7 linked regions of the Coturnix japonica genome follow. The protein of the gene in region 7 interacts with the protein of the main gene of each other region in a biochemical or structural test. Links are inferred from orthologs where the notes say so. Each region holds a gene or a part of one and is shown on either strand. Other genes may lie near its edges. The genes, in order: PKP4, KCNA4, ACVR2A, ABCA1, plasma membrane calcium-transporting ATPase 4, ARVCF and ERBIN.

Region 1 (4,031 bases), on a different chromosome or scaffold from region 7:
GTCCACTGCCCTCTGCAGCAAAGCCTTCCCCTCACTTCCACCTGACCCCCCACATGCTCCAAGCTGTTCCCTTGGGCACTGTTGCTATCACCATAGAGCTGCCATATCACCATAGGCTGCCACAAGGCCACTCCTCAGGCTCCTCTTCTCTGTGCTGATCCAACCCAACTGCTCCTCACGCGTGTTCCTTCTACACAGAAGCATACAGCACTGGAAATGAGCAAGGGAAACTGGAATTTTTGGCCCAGTCTAAGGGTTATGATACCACAGGCTCAGTGAGTCAGCAGGGCACTGTGCACTGCTGCAGTGCTGAGACTGATGGCTCAGACTGATGGCTTAGAATGATGGCTTAGAATGATGGCTTGGAATGATGGCTTGGAATGATGGCTTGGAATGGTGGCTTGGAATGATGGCTTGGAATGATGGCTTGGAATGGTGGCTTGGAATGATGGCTTGGAATGATGGCTTAGAATGATGGCTTAGAATGATGGCTTAGTCTGATGGCTTAGAAGGCCAATGCCACCCTGGCTGCTATCAGGAATAGTGCAGCCAGCAGGAGCAGGAGGTGTTTGTCTCTCTGTGCTCAGCTCTGGTGAGTTCAGGCTGGACATTAGGAGCAGTTTCCTCACCAAAGGAGTGCTCAGGTGCTGTAATACTGCCCATGGGGGGTGGTTGAGTCCCTGACCTTTGGAGACGTCCATAATGTTCAGATGTTGTATTAAAGGATGTGATTTAGTGGGGAAATACTGGTGGTAGTGGACACTTGGTCTAAATGGCCTTGGAGCCCTTTGCCAACCCTGGTAATTCTATGATTCTGAGAGATATTTTTGGGGGAGAATGTTGCAGGTCACACAGCAGCAGAACTAAAATAAAGATAAATGGGATTAATTTCAAATGAAATAACGCTGAAGGTCGCAAGCAGCAAGCTGAAAGGCCAAGAGATGGCAATGAGCCACCTTACATAGCCTGTGCCTCCCGTATGCTCAACAGCAATGCTCAGAAATACACTTATATTTGTTAATATACTCCAATATCGGACACTTACCGGCCGTGGAGCGGCCCGGCTCTCTGTGGTGAACACCCGGCATCGCGCCGCCTCACAGCATCGTTAACCATAGCAACCTCAACTCCCCCCTCCATTGGCGAGCTCATCGCGACGCTCAACCAATCCCGTGCCGTCCTGAGCACCGTACAACCAATAGGCGTTGAGAGGTGGGCGGGGCGTAGCGTGACGTACAGCGGGAGGCGGAGCGAGGCCGGGCGGAGCGGGCGGAGGCGCCACAAGCGCTTCAGCCGCCGCCACCATGGAGACCCCGGGTTAGGGCCCAACCGGACCGACGGGCGGCCTCGCCCGCCGCCGCCTGCGGTGAGTGGGACAGCGGGGGGAGCTGGGCCTTGGGCGGGGGGCGGCGGAGCTCGGGGCCGCGGCGGGCCAGCCGCCGCGGCCCCGAGCTCCGCCGCCCCCCGCCTTGACTCCGTCCGTCGCAGCGCGGAGCCCCGAGGCCGCAGCGTTTGAGGCGGAGCGACGCGGCCCTGTGTGTGTGTGTGTGTGTGTGTGTGTGTGAGTGTGAGCACGGCGGGCATGTGAGCACAGCGCACCTTTGCACCGCGCCGGGATGCAGGGCTGGCCATCGAGGTGTGGTCTGCTCTGCGGTACGGCTGACGTGACGGTGCCGCGCTGTGTCTGTGCCTTAGAGGTCAAGGGAAGAAGGAGAGAGTTGCGTTTTGCTGTTCGATGGGGGAGATTCGTTTGGCCATTGCCGGGCGTTGTGGAGGGGCTGCTCTGTGCTCAGCCGATGGGGAGCATTAATAATTGCACTCTGCACTCCTGCTCGGCTTCACGTGGTTGTTAAAGTGTACACACAGAGGTTGGATCCGAGATGAAGGAGGGAAGATTTAGGTTGGATGTTAGGGGCAAGTTCTTCACTAGGAGAGTGGTTAGGAACTGGAACAGGCTACACAGGGAGGTTGTGGATGCCCCGTCCTTGGAGGTGTGCAAGGCCAGGTTGGACGGGGCCATGGGCAACCTGATCTATGGGGTCTCTATGGGGATCTATGGGGTCTCCTGGGCAACCTGATCTAGTACATGTGTATATTTGGTGGCCCTGCCAGGCAGGGGGGTTGGAACTACATGATCCTTGAGGTCCTTTCCTACCCGGGTCATTCTGTGGTTCTGCTGGATGTTGGCAGTACGTTTGAATGGCTTTGTGAGTGCTGCCTTGGTTTTGTTGGGCTTTATTCATTGATTTATTTTTTTCGGTTGTGCTGAAAATGAGCAATTTCTGCAAGTGTTTCTCTGGTTGTTTGGAAGAAAGCACCTGTTCCAGGGTCGGGGTTAGCAGGAAGAGGCTGTTGTTACAAGCATGAACAATAATTGGGTTTGTTAGCAGAATACAGTGATACCACGTAGAAAAGTGCCCTGGAACGGAGGTGTAGCTCTTGGTGCTTGAGGGGAGGGCCTTGTGATGTCAGCTGCATTTTGTATTGCTCTCATCTCCTATTTATGTTCTTAGTATTTTCCATCAGTGTCCGGGTTAGCACCTGTGTGTACCAGAAGCTTCTCGCTCAGATTCATCCCAGGGTCAATGGAGCAGAGCAGCCCCAGGGCAATGAGGCCCGGTGTCTCCTGCTGTGCTGGTGCTGCTCTGGAGCTGAGGGCAGCCCTGGCTGTGCCCGGGGTGAAGGACAGCAGGGAGGTGAGCTGGGAGCAGCAGCAGGAACTGTAACGTTTGGTGGGAAACGTCTTGTAAGAGTTACTGCAGAAATGGGGTTTTGTTGCCATGTATAAAACACACGGTGCATCTCCGTGATCAGCTCCTGCTGCAGTGGCTCCAACTCCTCGTACTTTCAGGAGTCATTGCCTTAGTTTCTGCATTTCGTTCAGCCACGTGCTGTTCAGGAAGAGGGAAGAACCACTTAAATTTCAGTCAATTGATGTTTTCGTTGTTGTTTTGTTTATTTCATTTTGAATAACGAAGGTCCTGAAACTATCACCAAAAGGAGAGGCTTAAGGTGGAAGTTCTCTCCATGGCAACTGGCAGCACTTGTGGAGCACAGGGCACACACACCTTGGGCATGTGCCGGGCTGGGCAGGGTGACGTGCAGCTCGGTCTGACTCAGCTCTTGCTGAAGGGCTGCGGCTCCAGGGCTCCAACCAGTCGGGCTGGTTTGCGGCTGCCAGGAGCCCAGGGAAGCTCACGGCCCAACTTTACCTTCCTTCCAACTTTACCTTCCCAGGTCTCGTCGCTTCCCTCTGTTCCAGGCAAAGGAAGGCAATAGCGTGTTAGGGAAAGTCAGAGGGCTGGGAAAAACCACTCTTAGTGTTTTTAAACAGGATGGCTTTTAAGCAATTCTGTTGTTTTCAGATATTTTTGATATGCATGCATCTCTTTCCCTATTATTGTTTTCTTCCCTCTGAACAGAAGAGCTAAATAAAGTATTCCTATCACCTCCTGTAGGTACAGAAGGAAAAAACAGCGAAGTACTGTTCTCTCTCCTAAATGTCTCCATGGTCATCTCTCGTGGATCTTTCTTCCCACCCCTGGTCCTTTAATTTGCAAAGCATAGGGAAGCAAAGACCAGCCAACCTCCTGCTAATTGGCTTTTTCAATCAGAGTAACTGTGCCTTTATTTTAGCACACAGAATAAAACTACCAGCTATTACTTTCTGCGGGGGATTGATCCATCATTTAAGAGGAACTGAAGTTAACCTCTTTTCTCTCCCATGCTCTGGGATCTGTTCTTTATATGAGATGTTATCTGGGTGCTTTAACTGAAATGTGGTGAGTTTCTGTGAGCCTTAAATCAAATCTGTAGCTAACCTCGTGTTCTGTGATTTGATATTAAGGGGAAGAAAGAAATCTGTTGTAAGTCCTTTGAAGATGTACGAGCTGCAACTTGTCTGCTTCGCAGCTCAATGGGGGGATTTTTAATGTAGTTACTGTTTATGCAACCATAGGCTAATAATTATGGGCAGTGAGTAAAATTTACCCTCTAGCTATTGGATCCGCAAAGCAAAAGCTTCATAGATA
Region 2 (3,500 bases), on a different chromosome or scaffold from region 7:
TTCACATTATCATATTAAAAAGTAGCCTTGTTTAATGCTTCACAGAAGAAATAAGAGTTGAAGCCTCCTCTACAATTTAAAATTATGAACTGGATATTTATACACAAGTTTTAAATCAGGGCTCAGTACAGTGCAGTCTTCTCAGAGCTTATTTATATATTTACTATGACTTCTGCAGTGCAATAGTAGGCAAGCAGAGAAAATTTTCCAAAATTTGATTCACAGAAAATCCATAAAGGCCAAAAACTCAATCATTAAGTAAAATCCTTTGGCTATGGCTCTGTTCTGTATCACTGGATGCTGGAGACAGCAAACAATGCCTTTCTGGTAGATGATGCATATCATCACAGCTACTCAATTTGGACAGGTTTTATTTCTGCTTTTCAGCACCAGAACTATAAATCACTGAATAGTTCTCTCCAGCAAACTCCCTCCTCACCTTTAAAGGAATATCACAAAACCACTGTAATTCAGTAGTGTTTGTAAGCACTCTTCTGTCTCACAACGTCCTGTCCCAGCCCTTAAAGTACATATGCCAATTTGGTTCAAGTTTTATAATTTGGAATGTTTCACAGTGCCTCAAAAACAGCTCCAATTACCTCCCTAGGTAATTATGCGTCTGAAAAACACCTGTTCTGAATCTATTATTTATGTTAAATGCAGGAATATCTTAGCTATTTAATTCTGGAGTCTGGAATGTGCTGTAGGTCAGGTAATCTTTACCTACCTTAATCTCCTATAAAGGGCAGTGGACATTTTTGACACAAACATACAGCTGGTCAAAGAATAAGTGAAAAGAATTCATGGAATGTTCTCCCAAGGACTACAAAGGACCCAACACAATCATTTTGAATCCCTAAATTCCTGTTTCAGATCCAAAATTTTGCTTGAAAGGTGGAAGCTGTAACTGAGGAAAATGTAGCACCAATAACATGTTAACTGTTAGTAATTCTGAATTGCTAGTACTGTAACAACTGAGTATCCTATTACTTTTACTTCTTGTCCCTATACATTGAGTTACTTCAATACTGGTAAGTGCATGTACTAAACATTAACTCTCAAAGTTAAATTAACATGGCAAAAATATGAACATGGAGTTAATCTTAATTGAGAACATCACTAGAAAACACTGATTTCAAATAATTTTGATTATAAAATTTTACTTCACAATCCTTTTCCAGATCACAGATATTCATAATGAAAAGAGTATGGAATTAATGTAATGTTAGCCATTTTGCCATCAGCATCACATAAAGGAAAAACAAAATTAAAATAAACAAACCAGAAAAAAAAGCCATAAAATATGATGCAGATCACTCTTCCAATGATTGTCATTGAACTATTACATTAGTAAACATTCACAGTATGAAGTCTCTTTCAATATAACTCCAGCATATAAAGTAGTGCAAAAAAGCATTCCAGTCATTTTGCCTTTGCAGTCAGACCAGGCTAAACAATTCTCTTACTTCATTTCTTTCATTATTAGACAACAAATGCTGCAATGCCTCCAAAGAGAGTTATAAAAATAAATCATTTCTGGAGGTTCAGCAGCCTTCTCAAAGAAAATTTCCAGTTAAAAACAAGCATTATAGGTTCCAAGAAAAAAAAAGAAAAAAAATTAGATCTATCTTCTGTAGAATATCTTTATACAATAAATTTACCATTTGAAAAACAAAGACTATGGTATCCAATGATTCATGGTAGCTGCTATTAAAGCACTGATAAATAGATAAATGATTTCCAAAGTTCATTGCTTCTTACATAGTAAATACCTCTGAATGCCAACTTTTACCACAGAGCTGTTAGCAGTGATGTCGAACAGTTCATGCACTGACTTTAAAACTGACTTGGTTTCAATAAATTTTTCAGCCTCGTGTGCAAAACACTTGCATTCTAGAAAAAAAATACAGTCTGAAGTTATATCAGATCTAGCAACCCCTTCCTCGAGTTATATCGCTTACTTGATATGTTCTACAAGTTTAACAATGCTTTTTTATTTGTGTTTAACCATTAAAATGGCATACTACTGTATGCTGTGGACTCGTTTGCATATTTCATTATTTCCACCGCACTCTTTAATGCATAAATATATTTGGAGACATAAAATAAATATATTTGTAAATTACACATCAGTTTCCACTGAATTTGAATTTACACAGTTTTTCTTCTCTGACTCACTACTATTCCCCGTGTCCTGACTTTTTTTCTCCTTTACACAAAGAGATTCTTTAACTCCTTCTTCCATCTCCAAATACTCTGATTTATCCTCTGTGGATGAAGATGACGAGCTTCTAAATTTCTTCAGTAAATTTGTTGGGAGGTAAGGGCAACTGACTGCATTTTGCATCAGCTGCGTTTGTTCTTCATTCTCAGTCTCTCTGTGATAGAAATAGTTAAAATTGGAGACAATCACTGGCACTGGTAAAGCAATGGTTAACACTCCCGCGATGGCACACAGGGACCCCACGATCTTGCCACCAATTGTCATGGGGTACATGTCCCCATAGCCCACAGTGGTCATGGTCACCACAGCCCACCAGAAAGCATCAGGGATGCTTGAGAAATGAGACTCAGGGTCATCAGCCTCAGCAAAGTAAACAGCACTGGAAAACAAAATTACTCCAATAAAAAGGAAAAAAATGAGGAGGCCGAGTTCCCTCATGCTTGCTCTGAGTGTGTGACCCAGGATCTGCAAACCCTTGGAGTGCCTGGAAAGCTTGAAGATGCGAAACACTCTGACCAGACGGATGATCCTCAGGATGGCAAAAGACATGGCCTGTTGACCATTACTGCCCTGCTCCTGAGCCAACTCAGTGCCCAGGGTGATGAAGTAGGGGATGATGGCCACAATGTCAATGATGTTCATGATGTTCTTGAGGAAATCTGCCTTGCTGGGGCAAGCAAAGAAACGCACCAGCAGCTCAAAGGAGAACCAGATGATGCACAGTGTCTCTACAACGAAAAAAGGGTCAGTGAAGATGGTGTGCTCCCCAGCATCCAAGTGAAGCGACTCATTGGAAAGACCCTTCCCTGAGCTCAGGGACATTATGAATTCTTTGTCATCTCTGAACTCCGGCAAAGTCTCCAAGCAAAAGATGACGATGGAGATCAAGATCACCAAGACAGAGACAATGGCGATGCCTCTGGCTGGACTGGAGCTCTCAGGGTACTCAAAGAGGAGCCAGACCTGGCGCTGAAACTCATTCTCTGGCAAAGCTTTGTCCTCTTCCTCTTTGACAAACCCTTCATCTTCCCTAAACTTGAGCATGGCTTCCTCCCCAAGTTGGTAGAATTTCACCTCCTCACTGAAGATATCAAAGGGTACGTTGACTGGCCTCTTCAGCCGACCACCACTCTGGTAGTAGTACAGTATGGCATCAAAACTGGGCCGGTTCCTATCAAAGAAGTATTCATTTCTGAGAGGGTCAAAGTATCTGCCTCGCTTTGCTGGATCACCCAACAGTGTCTCTGGGAACTGAGCCAATGTCTTCAGTTGTGTT
Region 3 (4,115 bases), on a different chromosome or scaffold from region 7:
TGTTACACAGGTGGCATATTTGTGCTATTATATCTATCTATCTATATATATAAACACATACAATGGCAATATTTTTAGCTGTAATTTCCTGCTCATGTGGCAACACGACAAGCATCCCGAAGAAGCTGAGCAAAGTGAAAACGCAACCTGCAGAACAGGTCACGTTTAAATACTCTGCTATTGAAGAATATTAAAAGCTACAGATTAAGTAGGAGTGTTGTAATGCATTAATTAATGCTTGTAAATCATCCTGAAATGCCTGGATTAAAAAAAATGGCATAAAAAGTGTTGCCACACATCCCGGTGCTTCATGATGCGCACGATCCCATACGGCTTGTTTGATTTTGGGGTATTTTTCCAATCAAAAACGTCACTGGAGGATGACTTTGTGTTGGTGTTTGAAGTGAGGATCATAGAATCATTAAGGTTAACAAAGAGCTCTGAGATCCCCATGTGGACCCACCCCCCATGCCCACATCCAGGGCACATCCATGGGATGGTAACCCCCACCCGGTGCAGCTGTGCAGTGCCTGGCTGCTCTCTGGAGAACAAATGGCTCCTCGTATCTACTCTGAACCTCCTCCAGCACAACTTGAGGCCATTACCCAGCCTTGACTTACGTTTGGTGGCCCTGCCAGGCAGAGGGGTTGGAACTACATGATCCTTGAGGTCCCTTCCAACCCGGGTCATTCTGTGATTGACTTGCAAACCCACACATGTGAATTACCTCGCACACAGCACCCAATGTAGCACCACGTAACGACAGCTCCCCACCAAGGGAACTTGGACCGTAACCCTCCAATGCACATCTATAGTTAGTGATGTAGTTATTGAGAACTTGGTGCTTCTTGCTTCAGAAATACAGAAGTTAAATCCCAGCGCTGAGGCCTTTGTGCTTCCCCACATCAGTCCTCAACACCTAAACAAGCATTTCTTTATCCCTGATGCAAACTATGGGCATCTATTAAAGCCACCAACGGGGCATTAAATAAAGGAGGGCTTCCCACCGCAGTCGTTACACAGAGCAGCTCTGAGGGCGGCGCGAGCACCACGCCCTGAGGCGGGAAGGCGGGGCGCGTGCACGCAGCCCGCTCGCGCGCCTCCTCAGCCGTGCGCGCGCACACGCGGGCAGGTGGGAGGGGAGGGGAGGGGGGAGCGCGCCCCGCCCCCTCGGGGTGGGTCTGGAGGGGGGCGGGGCCGAGCGGCGCTCCTCGCGCTGTGATTGGGCGGCGCGGCTGTCAATCCGATGCGGCGCGCTCTCGCACGGCGTGTCTTGCCGGGCTGCCGTGAGTGTGGAGGGGAGGGGGGGGAGGGGGAGGAGGAGAGGAAACAAAAACAATCGGCCGGGCGCCGCCATCTTGGGTCCGTTCTCCACGCCACACAAGTGAATGGGTAGATATGAAATTACCACAGGGGAGCAGCGGCAGCAGCAGGGTACGGAGGGTCGTTCCGAGCTGCAGGTTGGACTTGGGAGACTTTAGAGACGGCTCCAACCACCAGCACCGCCCGCAGATCGAAACCGGGCTCGGCCTTTTCTCCTCGGCAACCCTCAAACCGCACTGCTGGAGGGACAAAGTTGGTGTCCGCCGCTCTGACAACGGCAAAAGGGAGACGGGAGAGACCAGCCGAGATCCGAGCGGGACGGGAGTGAGGCGGGAGGAGAGCTAAGGACCGGGAGATAAGGACTGAGGGCTGCGAGCTCAGGGCTGAGGGCTGGGAGCTCAGGGCGGCACGAGGGCTTCTCCTTGTCAGCCCTTCTCCTGTGGGCCCTTCTCCTGTCGGTCCTGCTTCTCTTTTGCGTTTATTTGTTTGTTTTTCCCTCAAAAGCAGCAGACTCGTTGCGGGGCGATGTCCCCGGGGGCTGCCGAGGGAAGGGCCCTGCGGGCGGCCGTGCAGCCCTGAGCGGCCCCGCGGAGCGCAGCCACCGGGAGCCGTGCCTGGCCTTGCCGTTGCTTTGCTCTTTATTTTCTTTATTATTATTTTTTTCCCTTCATTTTGCGTTTAAATACCAAGCCGAGTCTCGGGGGAGCTGGGTGGGTGGGGGGGGCATGGAAGCATCGTAGGGGGAGGAATCGTCGTAGAGGGGGGGAATCGTAAATCGTGTTTCCCGTAGCGGAGCGCTCAGCCCCGCTGCCGCTCGGACTGTCGGAGCGCTGCCCGGAGCCGCCATGGAGCCACCGCGCTGCCCGGAGCCCCGCGCTGCATAACGGGAACCGGGACATAGAGCGGGGAAACACGGAGCTTCATGACGGAGTGAGCGCCGATACACACCGCCTCGGATCGCACCCGGCGGCTCCGCCGTTGACTTCAATCAATCTTCCTTTATTTGCCGTGGATTCGTAGCGTACTTTTGTGAATTAAATCCCGCCGCTCTTGGTCCAGAAGCCAAATGACACGTGTGTTTTGAAACGCCGCTCACAATAGTTCGAGCCCCCCCGAACCCGGATTCTCGCTTTGAAGCGACCGTCGGTCTCCAAACGACCCCGATTTTACTGTTTGGTGAACACTATCAACGGAGAAGTTTGCTCTAGATCGCTTTATAACGGTTCCGCAAGAAGAGGGGATTGTCCGGCTTGCAGGACCGAGAAACTGGATGCTAAAAGTCACTTAAATGTTCTAACGCCATTGGAAAATGGGAGCTGCTACGAAGTTAGCGTTCGCTGTTTTTCTCATCTCGTGTTCTTCAGGTGAGTGCGTGCTTTTGTTGCTTTGGGCTCAGCTGTTGGAAGCACGAGGTGATTGTATCGGTGGGACGAGAGGTCATTTCTTGAGATGAGGTTTAGGTTGGATACCAGGAGGAAGTTTTTCCCCCAGAGGGTGGTGATGCACTGGAATAGTTTCCCCAAGGAGGCTGTGGATGCCCCATCCCTGCAGGCATTCAAGGCCAGGCTGGATGTGGCTCTGGGCAGCCTGGGCTGCTGGTTGGTGACCCTGCACACAGCAGGGGGTTGGAGCTGGGTCAGTTTGTGGTCCTTTTCTATCCAGGCCGTTCAGTGAGTCTATGAAATGCCAAACGTTTGGGGATGGCAGTGAAAGATTCCTGTTCTCACTGTCATTCCCCGGTGCACAACTCTTTCAGGTACGTGCAGTGCTCATAGTGCTCGTGTGGGTCCCACCCGGGGCTGTGCCCACCTCGTTCACTTGTGGGCAGTTCCCGGCCTCGTGTTTGCTCCAGTGGATTATTTACCAAGCTGTGAAATATTCCGAACTTAATTTAGGGCTCTGGAAGCGTCCAGCGGTGGATGGCAACCTTCATTAATGCTTCATTAGTTCGGAATAATTGCTGTTGTGAAAGCATGAGCTCATCCCGCACCGATAGCGAGGGCTGAGCACGTATCGGTGCGTGCACCGAAACAGCCCGAAAAGCCAGACTTTCCATTTCCGAACAGTGATTTGTGTTCAGCTGTTGGGTTTCGTGTTTTGCCGTTCGGTTTTTCACTTTCTTAGCGCCTGAAACCCGGCGGTCGTGCTGTGGCTCTCAGACCTCAGAGACGAGCGGTGTGAGAGGCTCCATCCTTTGGGCTGGGAGGGAAATGGTGATGGAGCAACCGGTGGCTGGAGAGCTGCTGCCACCAGCTGCACCTGAAACCTGCAGAGCTGTGTAACACTCGATGTGTTGCTCGTGTGCTGAGCCTGACCCTTCCTGCTCACGTGCTGAATGTGTGTGCAGCCCTCTGTGTGTGTGTCGATGCACTTTTGGGCTCTGTTCTGTGCAGTGCAGGGACACACTTGTTGCTCATCCTGAAGGCCGGCTGGCTTTGTGCGGGACTGCTCCAGGGCGGTAATGAGATCTGCAGAGCGATGATGCCTTTGAAAACTTCAGCCTTAGGATGCGAGGGATTTTGCTGAACGGCACATTTTCTTGTGGTTAGTAAATGGATAGTCTAGTCTTGTGTCTGTAGTGTTATTGATCAGTTCCGTGTGGGCTAAATGTGCTGTGAAATGGCGATCTCTGCCAGGGAGAAACTGAAAAAAACCCTTTCTGTTTTAAGCAGACAAATAGCAGGGCAGGTTAGGGAGAGATGGGAGTGGTTTTTTGGGTTATTTTTCTTCAGATTAGAGTACGCCATTTATTCCTATTGCGAAACAGCAGGCGATTTCTTGCAGTGATTTTG
Region 4 (3,500 bases), about 34 Mb from region 7:
AACCAGCAGGAGCTCACTGTACCTTCTTTAGATAGGACACTGTGCTGCTGCTGTTTCGACAGGAGCTCAACGAGGAATCTACATCTTTCTTGACAAGGGTCAAGTAATAGCCTGTCCCCAGCTGATTCTTCAGGAAAAGAGAAGAACCAACGCAGCAGAGCTTGCCATGGGAAATGATGGCAATTCGGTCTCCCAGAATGTCTGCCTCATCCATGTGATGGGTGGAGAGGATGATAGTGCGGCCTGGAAGAAAGAAAAGGAAGACACTACAGTATGTCAACTACACTCATGTTTCCAAGCCAAGAAAGGCCATTTCCATCTGGTTTTTGTCATGAAGTTGAATGGGAGGTTTGTTTTCCAAGTTGTAGCTTGTTTGAACAAGGTTAGTTATATGGGAAAGTGTCACAACTGTTGTCACAGGTATACTGTCCCCACCCTTTGCACATCATCATTACACTCAGCTGAAGTAGGTTAACTCAGTATCAGCAATCATGGCTACAATAAAACAGGACAGTGATGCACATAAGGCATGACCTTCTGTCTTTAAGTATCCCGACAATCCAGTGAGTAGCTTTGTTCAGTGAACTCTGACATGAACTGGATGAAAGACGAGGACAGGTGAGAGCAGAATGTGTTTATCCTGCAAGCTTTGTTCCTTTCTCAACACAGGCAACAATGGATTTGCAAAGGCAAACCGCTATTTTGGGAACAGTTGTGAATCAGAGATTGATTTTCTTCTGCTTTTCACAATGTTGTTACATTAGGAGCACAAAAAAAGACCACAAACCTTGTCTATACTTCAGAAGCAGTTCCCATATCCCTCTCCGAGAATAAGGATCCACTCCAGCTGTGGGCTCATCCAGAATGACAACTTTGGATCCACCAACAAAGGCTAAGGCAACTGAGAGCTTCCTCTGCATGCCACCTGAAAGGTACAACAAGAAACAGGGGGTCAGGCTGATGCAAAGAACAGAACAGTGAAAATTGAGCTCTCCAAGAAAAATCAAAATAGAGCACTGAGAAGACTGAGTGCTGATACCGTTTTATGCGTTCAGGGTCTCATCACCTTCAGGACAAAGAATAATTCATCAGGATAGTTTTCCCCAGCAGAGCACAATTCCTCTACAGGAAACCAACAACCCCTCTATAAATGAATCATATGTATCTTAGCATCAGCAGTACCACACACTTTGCTCAGATGCCTAACCAAATTTTGAGGATCTGGAGCAGGTCTGAAAAAGCTTGAGTTGTAGGAACAGGTGCCCAAAGAGATTCCCCTCCAGTGGGAGTGTGTAAGAGGCAGCAGTGACATTATATTTCATATTATGCTCTTCAATGTGAAGCCAACCTTTGACTATCTGCTCTCCTTTACTGAAGCCAAATGTGTTGATAGTTGAGTCAGAGACAAAACAGTCCCAGTCCCCAGATACCTGGCACAGACTGATTCAGGAATCCTGATATTCCTGAAAAGGGGGGAAAGATATCAACTGGGAAAAAAAGCCTATATAAGAAATGCACAGTGTTCACAGTGTTTGGAAGGGATTTTTTTCTAAGGGCAGGTAGCAACAGAATGATGGGAAATTGCTCTAAAGAGGAAGAGGGTAGATCTAGACTAGACATCTGGAAGAAATTCTTTACTGTGAGGGCGGTGGGACACTGGAACAGGCTGCACACAGAAGTTGTGAATGCCCCCTTCCTGGAAGCATTCAAGGCCAGGCTGGATGGAGCTTTGAGCAACCTGGTCTAGCAGGAGCCATCCCTGCCTATAGCAGGGGGGTTGGAACTAGATGATGTTCAAAATCCATTCCAACCCAAACCATTCTGAGATTCTATGATATAGGCGTTAAGTTACTTGAAGGTTAGGGTCTGAGACACCTCCACCTAAACCTGTAAAAACCAAATATTCTAGTTAGCATTTGGAGAATATATGTAACAGGCAGCTATATTATAGGTAAACAGATTCCATGGTGTGAGGGAATGCCCCCTGTCAAGATGGAAACAAGTACAGAATGCTCAGAAAAAGTGACTGCTTTTTTTTTTTTTTTTTTACAGTATTAGATAACATAAATACTATAAGATTGTTAAGTTTACTAACATTTATTATGATTAGGTACTTAATATATAACTAGTTTTTTCAATGTGTGGCAGCCTACGTATCTGACCAGAGGATCCAATCAAAATCTGTGATGTAGCCTCCGTCAGGCCCTCACTGATACAGCCTTTCTGAAGCTGAGGGAGCTGCTGACAAATATAAAAGCTGATGAACCTACCAGAGAGTTTGCTCGTCCTGGCTTTCAGTTTGTGAGGCAAACCAACGTCCATTGCCATCTGCTCCATTTCCTCTTTTACCTTCTTTTCTGGCAACCCTTTGAGCCTAGCATAGAACCAGATGTGTTCTTCCACAGTCAGCCTAGGGAACAAGAGCAAATTCAGGGCACAGATGTGAGCTGGAATTCATCCTTGCATTAGCACTACACAAAGCATATTTGTTTGCCTAGGTAAACAACTTTAATCCTGAGTTTTTAGAAAGCAGCTACAGATCGGGTGTGCTCAGTTACGGCTTGATTTCAGAATGTTGCTATTCAGCACCACGGCAAATAATACTCCTTTTAAAGGGCTCAATAAAGTAACCAGAACATCCCAATTCAGTGGGCAGTGTTAAGCCATTTAGCCAAGTTACATTCAATGTAGCGGATTTCTCTGAAGAGAGGAGAAAGATGAGACTGCATGCTCAAGTCAATAATTCATAGTCACATATGAACCCACTAATAATCACAACACTCTTATACCAATCTCACACCACCCTGCTGTCTGCCACAGCTAAAGATATAGCTGTCTTAGCTCATGTAACACTAGTGTTTCCTAAGGAACCCAAACTTTCAATAGCACCAGCCCCGCATATGATGGATGTTACTCACAAGTCAAACAGCACGTTGTGTTGTGGACAGACACCCAAGTTTTGCCTGATGGTGCTGAGCTCTGAGCGGATATCTTTACCCAGGATGAAGGCAGTACCAGAAGTAGGAGGAAATAAGCCAGTCAAGATGGACCTGAAGAACAAAGACAACAGATTCCAGCACTAAGAAGTGGCTGCTGTACGTGATACGATGGATGAGTGAAGAGTGAGTGAAAGCTTTTGGGAGCTCCCAAATTAGGGAAGCAGTCCAAGAGATGCATATTACTAATGGATGAAAAATTGGCTCCAGTGGTTTTAATGCAGTGATCAAAGCACACCCGCATGGTGGTGCTTGAAGGAAATACATTTTTCTCTAAAAGCTTCCCATCCTTTCAAGCTCAGTTCATTTCCTTTCACTGATAAGTCAGAATCACAAATGAGATTACTAAAAAATGCTGCCAGGAGATGCATTCAGGCACAGCATCAATCTGAATGACCTTCCCCATTTCAGTTCTCTGTATCTGTGCATCTTCTAAACAGTTGCACAATTGGAGTAAGTCAGCAAAGCTCCTCTGAAATCAGCGAAGCACCATCAGTGGATCTC
Region 5 (3,500 bases), on a different chromosome or scaffold from region 7:
GATTGCCTCTGGCAGGTGAGGTGAGCTGTCTGGGGTCCCGCATTCAGTGCCTGATGACAGTGAGCCCACAGCAGAGGTGCTGCTGGAGCAGTATGTGTAGCCCCTTGGAGGAGGGCTGACCCTTCCTATCCCTCTGTCTGGTCTGTGTGCTCAGCCCTGCACCCTTTCTCTCTTTGAACAGGTAAAAAAACCGGAGCCCCTGAAAATCGCAACAAAGGTAACCAGCCTCTCCATCCTTTGAACCAGCACCACACTAACTACAAAGCATTCCTCCTTCCTTCTTCTCATGAGTCTGTGCTCTTTGCTACTCTGGCGGGACTCTCGCCTCGTTTTCCTGGGAGAGGGTGCAATGGTCCCACAGCTCCGGCACAATGGGATCAATGCCCCATGGCCTCTGCTTGGGGCGCAGTCTTTGGGAAGGGAAGACAAGCCTATTCCTGGCAGTTCAGACTGCTGGCACAGCATCCCTTGGTGCAAAGCAAGTCCCTATTGACATGACCTAGTGGCTCTGAAGCATTTGTGCTGCTTTCCTGCAGGGTGTGTATTTTGGCATGGTGGGGCAAGAGGCACAGGTCACATCCTCCTGGGATAAATCTCCTGTGAGACCCGGCCTGTGTGGTGGTTGCACCCTCTCCTCCCATGGCCTCGACTCCGTGAGCGTCTCCTCGCCGGTGTTTCTCACCCTGTTCTTTGCAGGCTGTGGAGGAAGCCCATTTCTGCACCTCTCTCTCCACCCCCCTCTCTCTTTCTTTCCTCTCAGCAGTTTTGCCCTCCTTCCTGCCAGATGTGTCTGGGTGCTTGTTTTGTCCGTGTTGTTGTAACTGTGGAGGTGTCAGGGCAGCCTGGGGCTGTCTCTGACCATTGAGCAGTGGCTGCCAGGAGGGGATGGGTCCTGGGGCTGCTGTGGGGTGGTTTTGCTGCTCCCCCAGCCCAGCAGATCTCAGCCTTTGCTCCACCATCCCACCCCATGCCGCCCAACCCAGCTGGGATTTTTTAGCTGAGGGGAGGCCATGGAGCTGGGCTACGGAAGCCTGGCCTTTTTGGGTCCTAAGAACATAATGGACAGCTTGGGGCTGGGATTGTAGGAGCTGGTTCACTCCTCTTTCAACTCCTTTGGAATGTCTTAACTGTTCTCCTCCATCTCACCTCTCCAGTGCTCTTATATGTAATGGATTCCTGCTGAGCCTCCAGAAGGGCTTTAAAAAGGGCATTAAACCGCAGAAGAGGGGTACAGAGCAGAGAGAAGTCCTCTACAAGCTTGACCCACTGTGTTGTAGCTGGGGTGGGGTCTGCTGGTGCACTGGAGCTGCTTTGGGGCAAACCCAGCATGCTTTTCTTGTGCTGCAGGGTGTGAAGCAGCTGGGGAGAGGTTGGAGATGTCCTGCCTGTGCCCGGCAGCCAGGTTAGGGATCTCTGGCAGCACTTCTGTGACCCATAGCCAGCGTCAGCCCCAGGACCCTTCCTGCATGGGGCTGGGGCATGGGGTAGATGTAAAGACTGCCCCATAGAGAGGCAACAGGGCCCCAGGACAAGAGATTTCCATGTGCTCGGATATGTGTGTCATGGAGGATGGTTTGTGCTCTGGGTTTTCTCTCTTTCCCACCACCGTATTTCTCAGTGGTGTCCTGCAGATCTCCCTGGTCTCTCTCCTACTCACACGTGGTGTCTTATTTTGCCCTGGGGCTGTAGCTAAAACTCAGGATGGTGTGGCCTTAGAGATCCAACCCTTGAAGAGCCAGGAAGGGGTGGAAAATGAGGAGAAGGAGAAGAAGAAAGTGAAGGTGCCCAAGAAGGAGAAGTCTGTGCTCCAAGGGAAGCTGACGCGCCTTGCAGTCCAGATTGGGAAGGCAGGTGAGCCATCACCCCGGGTGTCTCACTGGAGGTGGGACAGTGGGAGGGGGCTGATCCCTGCTTGCCATCCCTGTGTCCCCTCACTTGCTGCTTGGCATCCTCTCCCAGGGTTGATTATGTCAGCCATCACGGTGATCATCTTGGTGCTGTACTTTGTCATCGACACCTTTGGGGTACAGCGTCGGCCCTGGCTGGCAGAATGCACCCCCATCTACATCCAGTACTTTGTCAAGTTCTTCATCATCGGTGTCACCGTGCTGGTAGTGGCTGTGCCTGAAGGGCTCCCACTGGCAGTCACCATCTCCCTGGCCTACTCAGTGAAGGTGAGACCAGTAGGGGCATGGTGGGTGTGGAGAAGTGTGATGGGAATGTTCAGGCTTTTGGCTTTAACCTTCCTGGTCATGCTGCAGAAAATGATGAAGGACAACAACCTTGTGAGGCACTTGGATGCTTGTGAGACCATGGGTAATGCCACTGCCATCTGCTCAGACAAGACCGGCACGCTCACAATGAACCGAATGACTGTGGTGCAGGCCTACGTGGGGGACACCCACTATCGCCAGATTCCTGACCCTGAAGCCATCTTGCCCAAGGTCCTGGACCTCATTGTCAATGGTGTTGCCATCAACTCTGCCTACACATCCAAGATCCTGGTGAGTTGGCTCTTGAGAACCACAGCCTTACGTTCCCACTGTTGGCCATCGCTACTGCTTCCATCCCACTGTGTTCTGCAGTGCCCAGGTTTGACATTTCTTTTCCTTTCCCTTTTTCCTCCAGCCACCAGAGAAGGAAGGGGGGCTACCCCGGCAAGTGGGGAACAAGACAGAGTGTGCCTTGCTGGGCTTTGTGCTGGACCTGAAGCAGGATTATCAGGCTGTGCGGAATGAGGTGCCAGAGGAGAAGCTGTACAAAGTCTATACCTTCAACTCTGTGCGCAAGTCCATGAGCACAGTACTCAAGAACAGTGACAACAGCTTCCGCATGTACAGCAAGGGAGCCTCTGAGATCATCCTCCGCAAGTAACTGTCGTCCCCCCCCTCCACGCTGAGTCCTCTCCCCAACCCACCTGCCCCATGGACTTTGAGCTCTCAGAGCGGTGTTGAGCTGTTCTGGGGGATTGCAGGGTGAAGGGGACCCAGTGCTTGAGGAGGGGGGAAAGAAAGTGTGAGCATCAGGAAGTGCTGCTGTGCAAAGTGTTAGCTCTTTTTAGGGTGTCTCTAGTAAGGCTATAGGGGTACTGGGTGAGAGGTACTCATTTTACAGATGGGGGAAACTGGGTGGTGGAAGGAGGGGACTGCTGAACAGCCACAAGCAGTCTCCCTTACTCTCCTGTCCTGTCCTGTGGTAGGTGCACCAAGATTCTGGACAAGAATGGTGACCCCCGGATGTTCAAAGTGAAGGATCGAGATGAGATGGTGAAGAAGGTGATTGAGCCTATGGCTTGCCATGGGCTGCGGACCATCTGCCTGGCCTTCCGTGACTTCCCTGCTGACACTGAGCCTGACTGGGACAGTGAGAATGAGATCCTGTCTGACCTGACGTGCATTGCTGTGGTGGGGATAGAGGACCCTGTGCGGCCAGAGGTACTGTGGCCCCCATGTGGCTCTGACAGCCCATCACCCAGCTGTGCTCCTGGTCCAGGAGCCTCT
Region 6 (3,962 bases), on a different chromosome or scaffold from region 7:
TAAAGACTAAAGCTAAACGTCATCTCACACTTGGCTGCTTCAGCATTTGTTTACAGCGTTTGTTCCAGAGCTTCATACTCACATCATAAAATATTCAGAGCAACAAATTATGAACCTGGTGCCACAAGAGCTCTGAGCAGCTTTCCCTCACAACGCATCAATTCTGACAATGCCAAAAACCCACCAAAAACGCTGCAGAAGTCATGTGCTGTATTGCATAAAAGCACATAGAGCAGCTTAGTTTTATATAACTAACATGCATGCAGATGGGCTGCATGGTAAGACACCTACTCTAAACTGCAGTTTGTACAAAATATGTTTGCACAAAGTACACGGCAGGAATTGTGCCCTTTCTATGCAACATCCTGACTGAATACAATGGCAATGTCTCTCCCTTCACAACTGTTACCGGTTCTTCCCATATTAAAGAAGTTCAGAGACTAAAAGCTGCTGCAGGGATTTTAAATGAACAGATGAGAATCAAGCTTAACATTTTAACTGAGAGCTATATTAAAAACAACTGCATGTCACTAACTAGTTTGATATTTGCCCTAGGTGAAAAATTGTCATGAATCCCAGCTAAATACCAGGTCAAATCCAAGGGCAGGTTACATTCATGGAATGCCAGTTACATTGACAGCAACTATGGCCGAGATGGTAAAATCCAAGTCAACTTTGTAAAGATCACACGTCAAATAAAATACATTCTAAGTACCTTTGGACAATACACGAAGATAAACTACGCAGTGAAAGTATGCACTGTGACAGCACTGTTCTGCTAAACCTTGCGCTCCTCATACATTCCTTTAGCCAAGCAAAGGGAAGATAAACCCATTTGCCTAATGGAGCGTGTAATTTAAATATTTTAGACAAGCATTTACAGAGAGGTTGCTTAAAATAAATGGAGCAGCCGTCCATCCATCCAAGCAGTCTGTGTGATGGAAGGCACTGCAGAGTTCACAACTTATTTTTCCGGAGCTACGCAGCCCTTTCAGTTACTCCAAGCGCTGGGTATGCCCTGCTTTACTGAGGACAACAAAACAGCCCTTCCCAAGCAGATTTAACGTGAAGCTGCAGTTGTCTCTGTTGCAGTCACATTCCTGAAGCCACCACAATTTGAGCTGAGTGCTGCCCCACACCACACAGCCTTCCACCAATGTGTAAACAACATATGTTGAGAATTATGGATCCTGAAAGGAGCGATGTACTTAATGCAGCCTGCAGCACTTCATCGCGGGAGGTACAGGGAGCAATGCCACAACTCCATCATGGAGATCACGATTCTTACTATCAGGATTCTCAGTAATGCAAGCAGTGCTGTTAGGCACAGAAACTCGCACCCGGCACTACCAGCATCAGCAGGTCAGCACTTGACTGAAATTTATCAGCCAAGGATTTTATTATATACTGGGAATCTCACGCTGTACTGTGAGCTGCCTAAGGCACAGCAGTGCAATGCAAAGGGCGTATAGGAATTACCCCTTCCACATGCACAAAGAAGCGCGTACATCTAAAAAACAAAAGGATAACGGCAGCCCTTACTATGGGTATGAGTGAAGTGAGCATGTTACCGAGCTGTGCCCAAGTTCTGCAAGCATTAGATTTCAATCATGTAGTGCTGCAGGGAAATGAAAGGAAGGGAAAAGGAGACAGCAAAGAAGGAAAGCACCCAACTTCGGCTCTTAAGTTTGTGGCGGATCTCACGTCTGTGAAGGAACAGATCCGCTCCGTTCGGTCACAGCCATCTCGCCCGCCGCAAACAGCCCGAGCGATGTCACAGCGCTGTGCTGAGGGGCAGCTCAGCCGTGCGGCCGGCAGATGCGCTTTTATCCGTCCGTACACATCAACTCCTCCCCGCGTACCCCGCAATGAAGCGATACACGCCGTTATCAGCCCCAAGCTCCGATCTCCGGCGAACAAAGAAGGCTGAGGCTGCTCCGCGATCGCGGCGCAAAATCCTTCACCAGCCGCGCCGCACCCCGCGCCCCGCTCCGAGCCCAAACACCGCTCCGAGCCCATCCACCGCCCAGCGCCGCCACCCGCTCACCATCTCCTCCGCCTTCTCCCGCTCCTCGGCCCCGGGCTGACGTCGCTGGCTGCCGCCGGCTGCGCGTCGTGTCCGGGAGGCGGCGTACAGGGAAGGGAAAACACCCGGCGCCGTTGAGCGGAGCGCTCGGCAGTAGCCGTGCAGAGCAGCACCGCACCCCGCAGCACAGCACCTCGCAGCACAACACAGCACAGCACAGCACAGCCCCGCAGCACAGCACAGCACAGCGCATCACCCCGCACCGCCGGTCCCGCAGCGCATCCCGCACCGCCCCGCGCGCTCCCCCGGGCCTCGCCTCCTCCTCACCCGGCGCGGCGGCTCGGGAACGTCCTGCCCCCAGCCCGACCCTGGCTACAAAGGGCCCATCTGTACCCGGGGCAGGTGGGAGGGTCCCTCAGCCCTTCTCTCTCGCGTTCCTCCGCCGCGAGGGTTTCGGCTGCCGCGTGCGGCTCGGGCCGGTCCTGCAGCTCCGAGGGCGGCGCTGACTGACAGCCGCATTGAAAACAAGCGACCTGCCGAGCGGAGCGCAGCGCCTCCAGCCGCGGCCCCTCGCGCGGGCCCCGGGCAGCACCGCTACCGCCCGTCAACTCTTTATTCCCTTAATCGGGGCATTATCGTTCCGGCCGCTCACGATGAAGGGGGGACGGCAGCGGCCCCGTCCCTCCCCACAGGCGGCTCTGAGGGGCGGCTCTGAGGGGCGGCCCCGCTCTCGCTCCCCGCTCTGTCCCTCCGCAGCAGCCGCGCGAACCGGCGCGCGCCGCCAGCAGCCGCGAATTTTCCTATTGGCCGCTGCCTCCGCGCTCGCGCTCAGCAACCAGAACCTCATTGGCTCTCTCCGCTCCCCGCCGCAAACCGCATTGGCCAACGGGGCCGTCAGTCAGAGCGGCACGGCACGGCCCGCCCCCTCGGCGGCGGGCGGCGGGAGGTTCCTCAGGGCCGCTCAGCGCACGGAGCTCACACAGCTCGTCCGGTGCGGGGCGAGGGACGGGCTGTGCGCTGTGACGGGCCGTGACGGGCCGGGCCGGGAGCTCGTCCGCTTCCATTGGGCCGGGATGATTTAATGCCGCGTCAGGTGGCTCCGTCACGTGAGCTGCCCGTCCAGCCGGCCCTGAAGGTCCCGTCCCCGCCTACAGATGGGGATGGCGACACGGAGCCGCTGCTCAGTGCTGACAGGATGCTGGAGCTGCGCCCGGTGCGTCCCACGTAACGTATTGCAGCGGGTACGAGGCAGGACAGTTATATCAGACATCAGAGTTATAACAGACATCAGAGTTATAACAGACATCAGAGTTATAACAGACATCAGAGTTATATCAGACATCACGGCCGCTTCTCTTGGTTTCTGTGAGCAGCTCGGAGGCCCCGGACAGTGTCTGAACGGGAATCGCTGCTGGGACGGGGGCACGGAACAAGCCTTGTTGCCGGGCAGCGCTGCCGTCCCTTCTCAGGGCTGTGGGGACGATGCGGGTCGCGCTGTGGCACTGAAGGCAGGGCCGGCTGCCGACCGCCACAGTTCTGCTTTCCAGATGAGAGGTTTCGCCTCAGAGACCACATTGCACACTCGTACACCCCTAGAAGGTCTTTTCTTTCCATTAACGTTTAATCTCTTGTGTATACGGTGTTTATTACTCGTAGAGAAGAGCAATCGCGGCCTTTCCGCCCTTCCTTTGGAGGCATTCCCACATAACACTCCTCATTCACAACTTCCATTCCCGCGGTGGAATCATACACTGTGTGCAGTGAAAGCCGGGCTCACCTGCGCGCCAACCGCCCTCAGCGCCCACCCTGAGGGGCGCGGGATCCAGCCAATGGCGGCTCGAGGAGGAGAGGCGGGGGAGCCGTTGTCCAATAGCGCGCGGGGGGCGGGGCTTCCTCAGGTAATGAGGGCGGGCGTCGCCTGCAGCTCGCTGTGCTG
Region 7 (3,500 bases):
TTAAGAGGGAAATCTCTACTACAAAGCAGGTAACTATTGCAGACTTCTTCACAGTGAGGGTACAGAACACTGGAATGGACTGCCCACAGGGGCTGCAGGGTTTCCTTCTTCACTGACATTCAAAACCCGCCTGGAGGCGTTCCTGTGTGACCTGGTCTAGGTGTTCCTGCTCCAGCAGGGGGATTAGGTCTACAAGATCTTTCAAGGTCTCTTCCAATCCCTGACATTCTGTGATTCTTAAGGCGACAAAGAGGTAAGCCCTGCTCTTTAATGTGGAGCATTAATGAGGAGAGAGAAGACTAAAAAGAATCAATGGCAATCTAGACATTTGGAAGTTTCAGTGAAGTCAGAAGATAGTATTACACCTAACCTTTACCCCCACATCTTTTACAGAAACTGTCTGGCTTTCTCGTTTTGATTCCTTGGCAACATCTTCAGTAGACTCTTCATCCTTTAGCCTGTGTACAATTGTCTGGACTGTTTTGACCATATTCTTCAGCTCATCAGGATATGGAGTTGGATATCTCTTCAGATTGCCTTCCTGTGTTATAAAAAAGTAATAATCTAATTTTAATTAAACGCTTTAATTAAAGTACCAAGCTTTAAAATAGACAATGGATTCAAACAAAACATTCAGACCAACACCTAGAATCTCCATTTTGCAGTTTGAGTCTACCTAGATTAACACAATTTTAGAAAACCCAGCAAAATTACAAATCAATTATTTTTGCTTCATATTTGTCTGTTGATAACAAGCAGGAAGAGTAATGACAACTATAATATATCTAAATAAAAATCAGAATTAACCATTATTTCTCAACTATCCCTCTCCTGAAGCAGCACCAGTCCAGCAATTTCATAATTATATGCTCCATTTTAATGATGAGGAAAAAAAAATAGTCCAGTTTTATGCTCGTAAGCTAATAAATGAAGTTTTGATTTCTTCATCAGAGCTAAACCCACAGTCAAAGGAATAAAAAGGATGGGAGTCAGGTGTGCAATTGGGAAAAAGAGAGAGAGAAAAACCATGGTAAAAAATAAATACTAACCCGAGGTGGTGCCTCTCTCTCATCTTTGTCTTCATCACACTCAAATGCCACCTGAGCACGTTGTTTCCTCTGTTCTTCCCACAAAGATGGATTGAAGCTTTCATTGTCAGATATAAACATAACTAGAGAAAAAAAAACAGGCACATTTAAGAACAGCATGCATTACACAAAACAAAGCTCCTCTTTTACTTCTTTTTCTTAGGTGGATTTTTTTGTTTTGTTTTGTTTTTTGTTTTTTAAATTTATGCTTGAAAAGGAAACAAATTAACAATGCTGTAAGCTGAAAAAGAAATCCTTACCATCCTCAGTCCTTGGTTGCTGGGGGAACATGTAATTTGTAAGCACAGTTTTCTGTGTGTCAGGGTCAGCTTCTTTTTGAAGGGGGATAAGTGGTTTAGACTAAGAAGGAAATCAAAGAAGGACACATTAAGAAAATATCTGTATGTACAAAGTAAAGATTATCTACACATAACTTATAGAATGCAAGGCAGAGCAGTCTTCAATCATTTACCCTCTGAATAATTTTCAGAGAATGAAGTTATTAATATATGTCAGTAAACGACTGTCTTGGGAATGGAAAGAACAACTTCAAGAGAATAAACTGAATATTTAAAAAAAAAGCAACTATTTTTGCTAGGACTTATTACTGTCTCAAACCAAGCTGTTCTGGGATGCACAGATATACTTTGTCATTTACACCTATGGACAGCCAAATAAATAAATAAATAAATAAAATATTTAATGTAAGTGTGTGTATATATATACACACACACACACACATATATAATGTGTGTGTGTGTGTATATATATATATACATATATATATTATATATATATTAAATATATATAAAATATTGATATCAGACTGATAACTCCCACTCCTTATAAATCTTCCACTATACCACACTTGAGATCCATGAATTTCTGGAATCCCTGTAAGCCTTAGTGCCATTCAGGAAATTGGTAGAGTACAAAGGAATTAAAGAAGGCACGAGCGCACAAGTTACTTCTCAATAACTTGAAACATGGACAGCCATGAAGTTCAAAGGTAAGGCAAGCAACCTACCACAAAAAAGGTTATCCAAATTTTCTATAATGGCAGAACGATACCATATGCGTGTAAGCACTAACAAATTATCAAATACCACCTTTCTGGTTTTAAGAAATAACAAATTAGAAATTCCAACATCTGCTAAATTGTATTTCATATAAAAGCTTTGCCAGAGAAGCTCTAAAGGATATTAAACCCAATATTGTTTATTTTGAGAGAATGGACAAAATGTCAAGGAAGTACTTATGCACATACAAAGCACTCAAAATTCAAAAGATCACATATTGATTCAATTAGGAATAAAGTCAACCATTTTTTATAATTTTTCTCCCAGAAAATTTCACCTGATTGTCCGATAGCCACATAGCAGTGAGCTGCTGCAGTTTTGTAAAGGTAAACGGCAAATTCTTCAGCCTGCAAATTACAATAAAAGTTCATGAAAACACACTTTTCAATACTACAACTTGACAGTAGAATGGCATTCTGTTTTTTAGATACGCATTCCTGCCTATTCCAGCAAGCAGCTTAAAAGACAGTGGAAACTGAATTTATCTCATGTCAACAACCTGAACACAATTTTTAAGACAGCCATTAGCACTGTATATAAATCAGCTACTGAACTTAAGATCAAGACTGTTTATTTTATTAGAAGAATCCTCAGCAATTTTATTGCTATACGTGTATATTCAATATACACGTGCACTAAAATTAAGAAAAATTAAGAAAAAAGGGTCACAACTAAAATTGTGGGGTTTTTTTGTTTTTGAATAAAATGTGAATAAAATCAGGCTTAGGGTAGAGTACAAAGGAACTGGATTTGTTTAAAAAAAAAAAAAAAAGGGAGGGGGGAGAATTTAAATTTATCTCTCCCAATACATTTGAATTCTGCAAATTGATGAATTCAAAAAGGCCTATTTTGCCAGTTTTTATTGACCAGCTTTAATTAAAAACATGTCCTTCCTCTTTCTTGCCCAGCACATGTGTTTTATCACATACTGTGACACTTCTGTTCTCTGTCCCCTACATGCAATACAGGAAGCTATTTACTTAAATCATCAAACATATGCCTAATTCAAAGGAACAGTTTCATAAAATCGATAAACAGTAAATGAAATACATGCATTTCAGTCAGATTATAAGCTGTGGGATATAACGAAAGGTAGCACAGCACGTTCAGAAAAATGCCGCTACTTACATCTGGGTGACAGATATCAGTTACACTGAAGTACACTCAATGCTATTGCATTTTACATGATTTTTACTTGAATTACCTATTGTCACTCAGGTTGATGACCTTCAATTTCTGCATGTCACCCATTTCTTCTGGGAGAAACTCAAGCTTATTTGAATGCAAAAACAATACCGTTACGTGCTTCCAATTTCCAATCTGCAAAAAAAAA

What was found.
Region 1: the proteins of ERBIN (region 7) and PKP4 form a complex in vitro, tested with the Homo sapiens proteins (4 studies listed by BioGRID and IntAct, with this or other methods). The link is inferred for Coturnix japonica from reciprocal best matches to the Homo sapiens genes ERBIN and PKP4.
Region 2: the proteins of ERBIN (region 7) and KCNA4 interact in a test that uses a peptide from one of them, tested with the Homo sapiens proteins (3 studies listed by BioGRID and IntAct, with this or other methods). The link is inferred for Coturnix japonica from reciprocal best matches to the Homo sapiens genes ERBIN and KCNA4.
Region 3: the proteins of ERBIN (region 7) and ACVR2A interact in a test that uses a peptide from one of them, tested with the Homo sapiens proteins (2 studies listed by BioGRID and IntAct). The link is inferred for Coturnix japonica from reciprocal best matches to the Homo sapiens genes ERBIN and ACVR2A.
Region 4: the proteins of ERBIN (region 7) and ABCA1 interact in a test that uses a peptide from one of them, tested with the Homo sapiens proteins (2 studies listed by BioGRID and IntAct). The link is inferred for Coturnix japonica from reciprocal best matches to the Homo sapiens genes ERBIN and ABCA1.
Region 5: the proteins of ERBIN (region 7) and plasma membrane calcium-transporting ATPase 4 interact in a test that uses a peptide from one of them, tested with the Homo sapiens proteins (2 studies listed by BioGRID and IntAct). The link is inferred for Coturnix japonica from reciprocal best matches to the Homo sapiens genes ERBIN and ATP2B4.
Region 6: the proteins of ERBIN (region 7) and ARVCF interact in a test that uses a peptide from one of them, tested with the Homo sapiens proteins (3 studies listed by BioGRID and IntAct, with this or other methods). The link is inferred for Coturnix japonica from reciprocal best matches to the Homo sapiens genes ERBIN and ARVCF.

The regions. Positions count from the first base shown.
Region 1 is NC_029522.1:33,189,955-33,193,985, forward strand, and holds the start of PKP4 (plakophilin-4), read left to right. Parts: upstream 1-1,231; 5' UTR 1,232-1,366; intron 1,367-4,031. Other genes in the region: CCDC148 (coiled-coil domain-containing protein 148), read right to left, coding at 1,046-1,088. UniProt on the Homo sapiens protein: Plays a role as a regulator of Rho activity during cytokinesis. May play a role in junctional plaques.
Region 2 is NC_029520.1:5,299,640-5,303,139, reverse strand, and holds part of KCNA4 (potassium voltage-gated channel subfamily A member 4), read right to left. Parts: coding exon 2,123-3,500; 3' UTR 1-2,122. UniProt on the Homo sapiens protein: Voltage-gated potassium channel that mediates transmembrane potassium transport in excitable membranes. Forms tetrameric potassium-selective channels through which potassium ions pass in accordance with their electrochemical gradient.
Region 3 is NC_029522.1:31,390,548-31,394,662, reverse strand, and holds the start of ACVR2A (activin receptor type-2A), read left to right. Parts: upstream 1-1,315; 5' UTR 1,316-2,632; coding exon 2,633-2,687; intron 2,688-4,115. UniProt on the Homo sapiens protein: On ligand binding, forms a receptor complex consisting of two type II and two type I transmembrane serine/threonine kinases.
Region 4 is NC_029547.1:48,638,351-48,641,850, forward strand, and holds part of ABCA1 (phospholipid-transporting ATPase ABCA1), read right to left. Parts: intron 3,051-3,500; coding exon 2,919-3,050; intron 2,411-2,918; coding exon 2,271-2,410; intron 926-2,270; coding exon 788-925; intron 244-787; coding exon 23-243; intron 1-22. UniProt on the Homo sapiens protein: Catalyzes the translocation of specific phospholipids from the cytoplasmic to the extracellular/lumenal leaflet of membrane coupled to the hydrolysis of ATP.
Region 5 is NC_029541.1:4,896,788-4,900,287, forward strand, and holds part of plasma membrane calcium-transporting ATPase 4, read left to right. Parts: intron 1-181; coding exon 182-217; intron 218-1,689; coding exon 1,690-1,851; intron 1,852-1,959; coding exon 1,960-2,174; intron 2,175-2,261; coding exon 2,262-2,504; intron 2,505-2,628; coding exon 2,629-2,870; intron 2,871-3,199; coding exon 3,200-3,434; intron 3,435-3,500. UniProt on the Homo sapiens protein: Calcium/calmodulin-regulated and magnesium-dependent enzyme that catalyzes the hydrolysis of ATP coupled with the transport of calcium out of the cell. By regulating sperm cell calcium homeostasis, may play a role in sperm motility.
Region 6 is NC_029530.1:988,908-992,869, forward strand, and holds the start of ARVCF (armadillo repeat protein deleted in velo-cardio-facial syndrome), read right to left. Parts: upstream 2,801-3,962; 5' UTR 2,420-2,800; exon of another isoform or gene 2,354-2,419; intron 2,194-2,353; exon of another isoform or gene 2,048-2,193; intron 1-2,047. UniProt on the Homo sapiens protein: Contributes to the regulation of alternative splicing of pre-mRNAs.
Region 7 is NC_029547.1:14,171,919-14,175,418, forward strand, and holds part of ERBIN (erbin), read right to left. Parts: intron 3,488-3,500; coding exon 3,372-3,487; intron 2,515-3,371; coding exon 2,445-2,514; intron 1,449-2,444; coding exon 1,349-1,448; intron 1,172-1,348; coding exon 1,050-1,171; intron 542-1,049; coding exon 371-541; intron 1-370. UniProt on the Homo sapiens protein: Acts as an adapter for the receptor ERBB2, in epithelia. By binding the unphosphorylated 'Tyr-1248' of receptor ERBB2, it may contribute to stabilize this unphosphorylated state.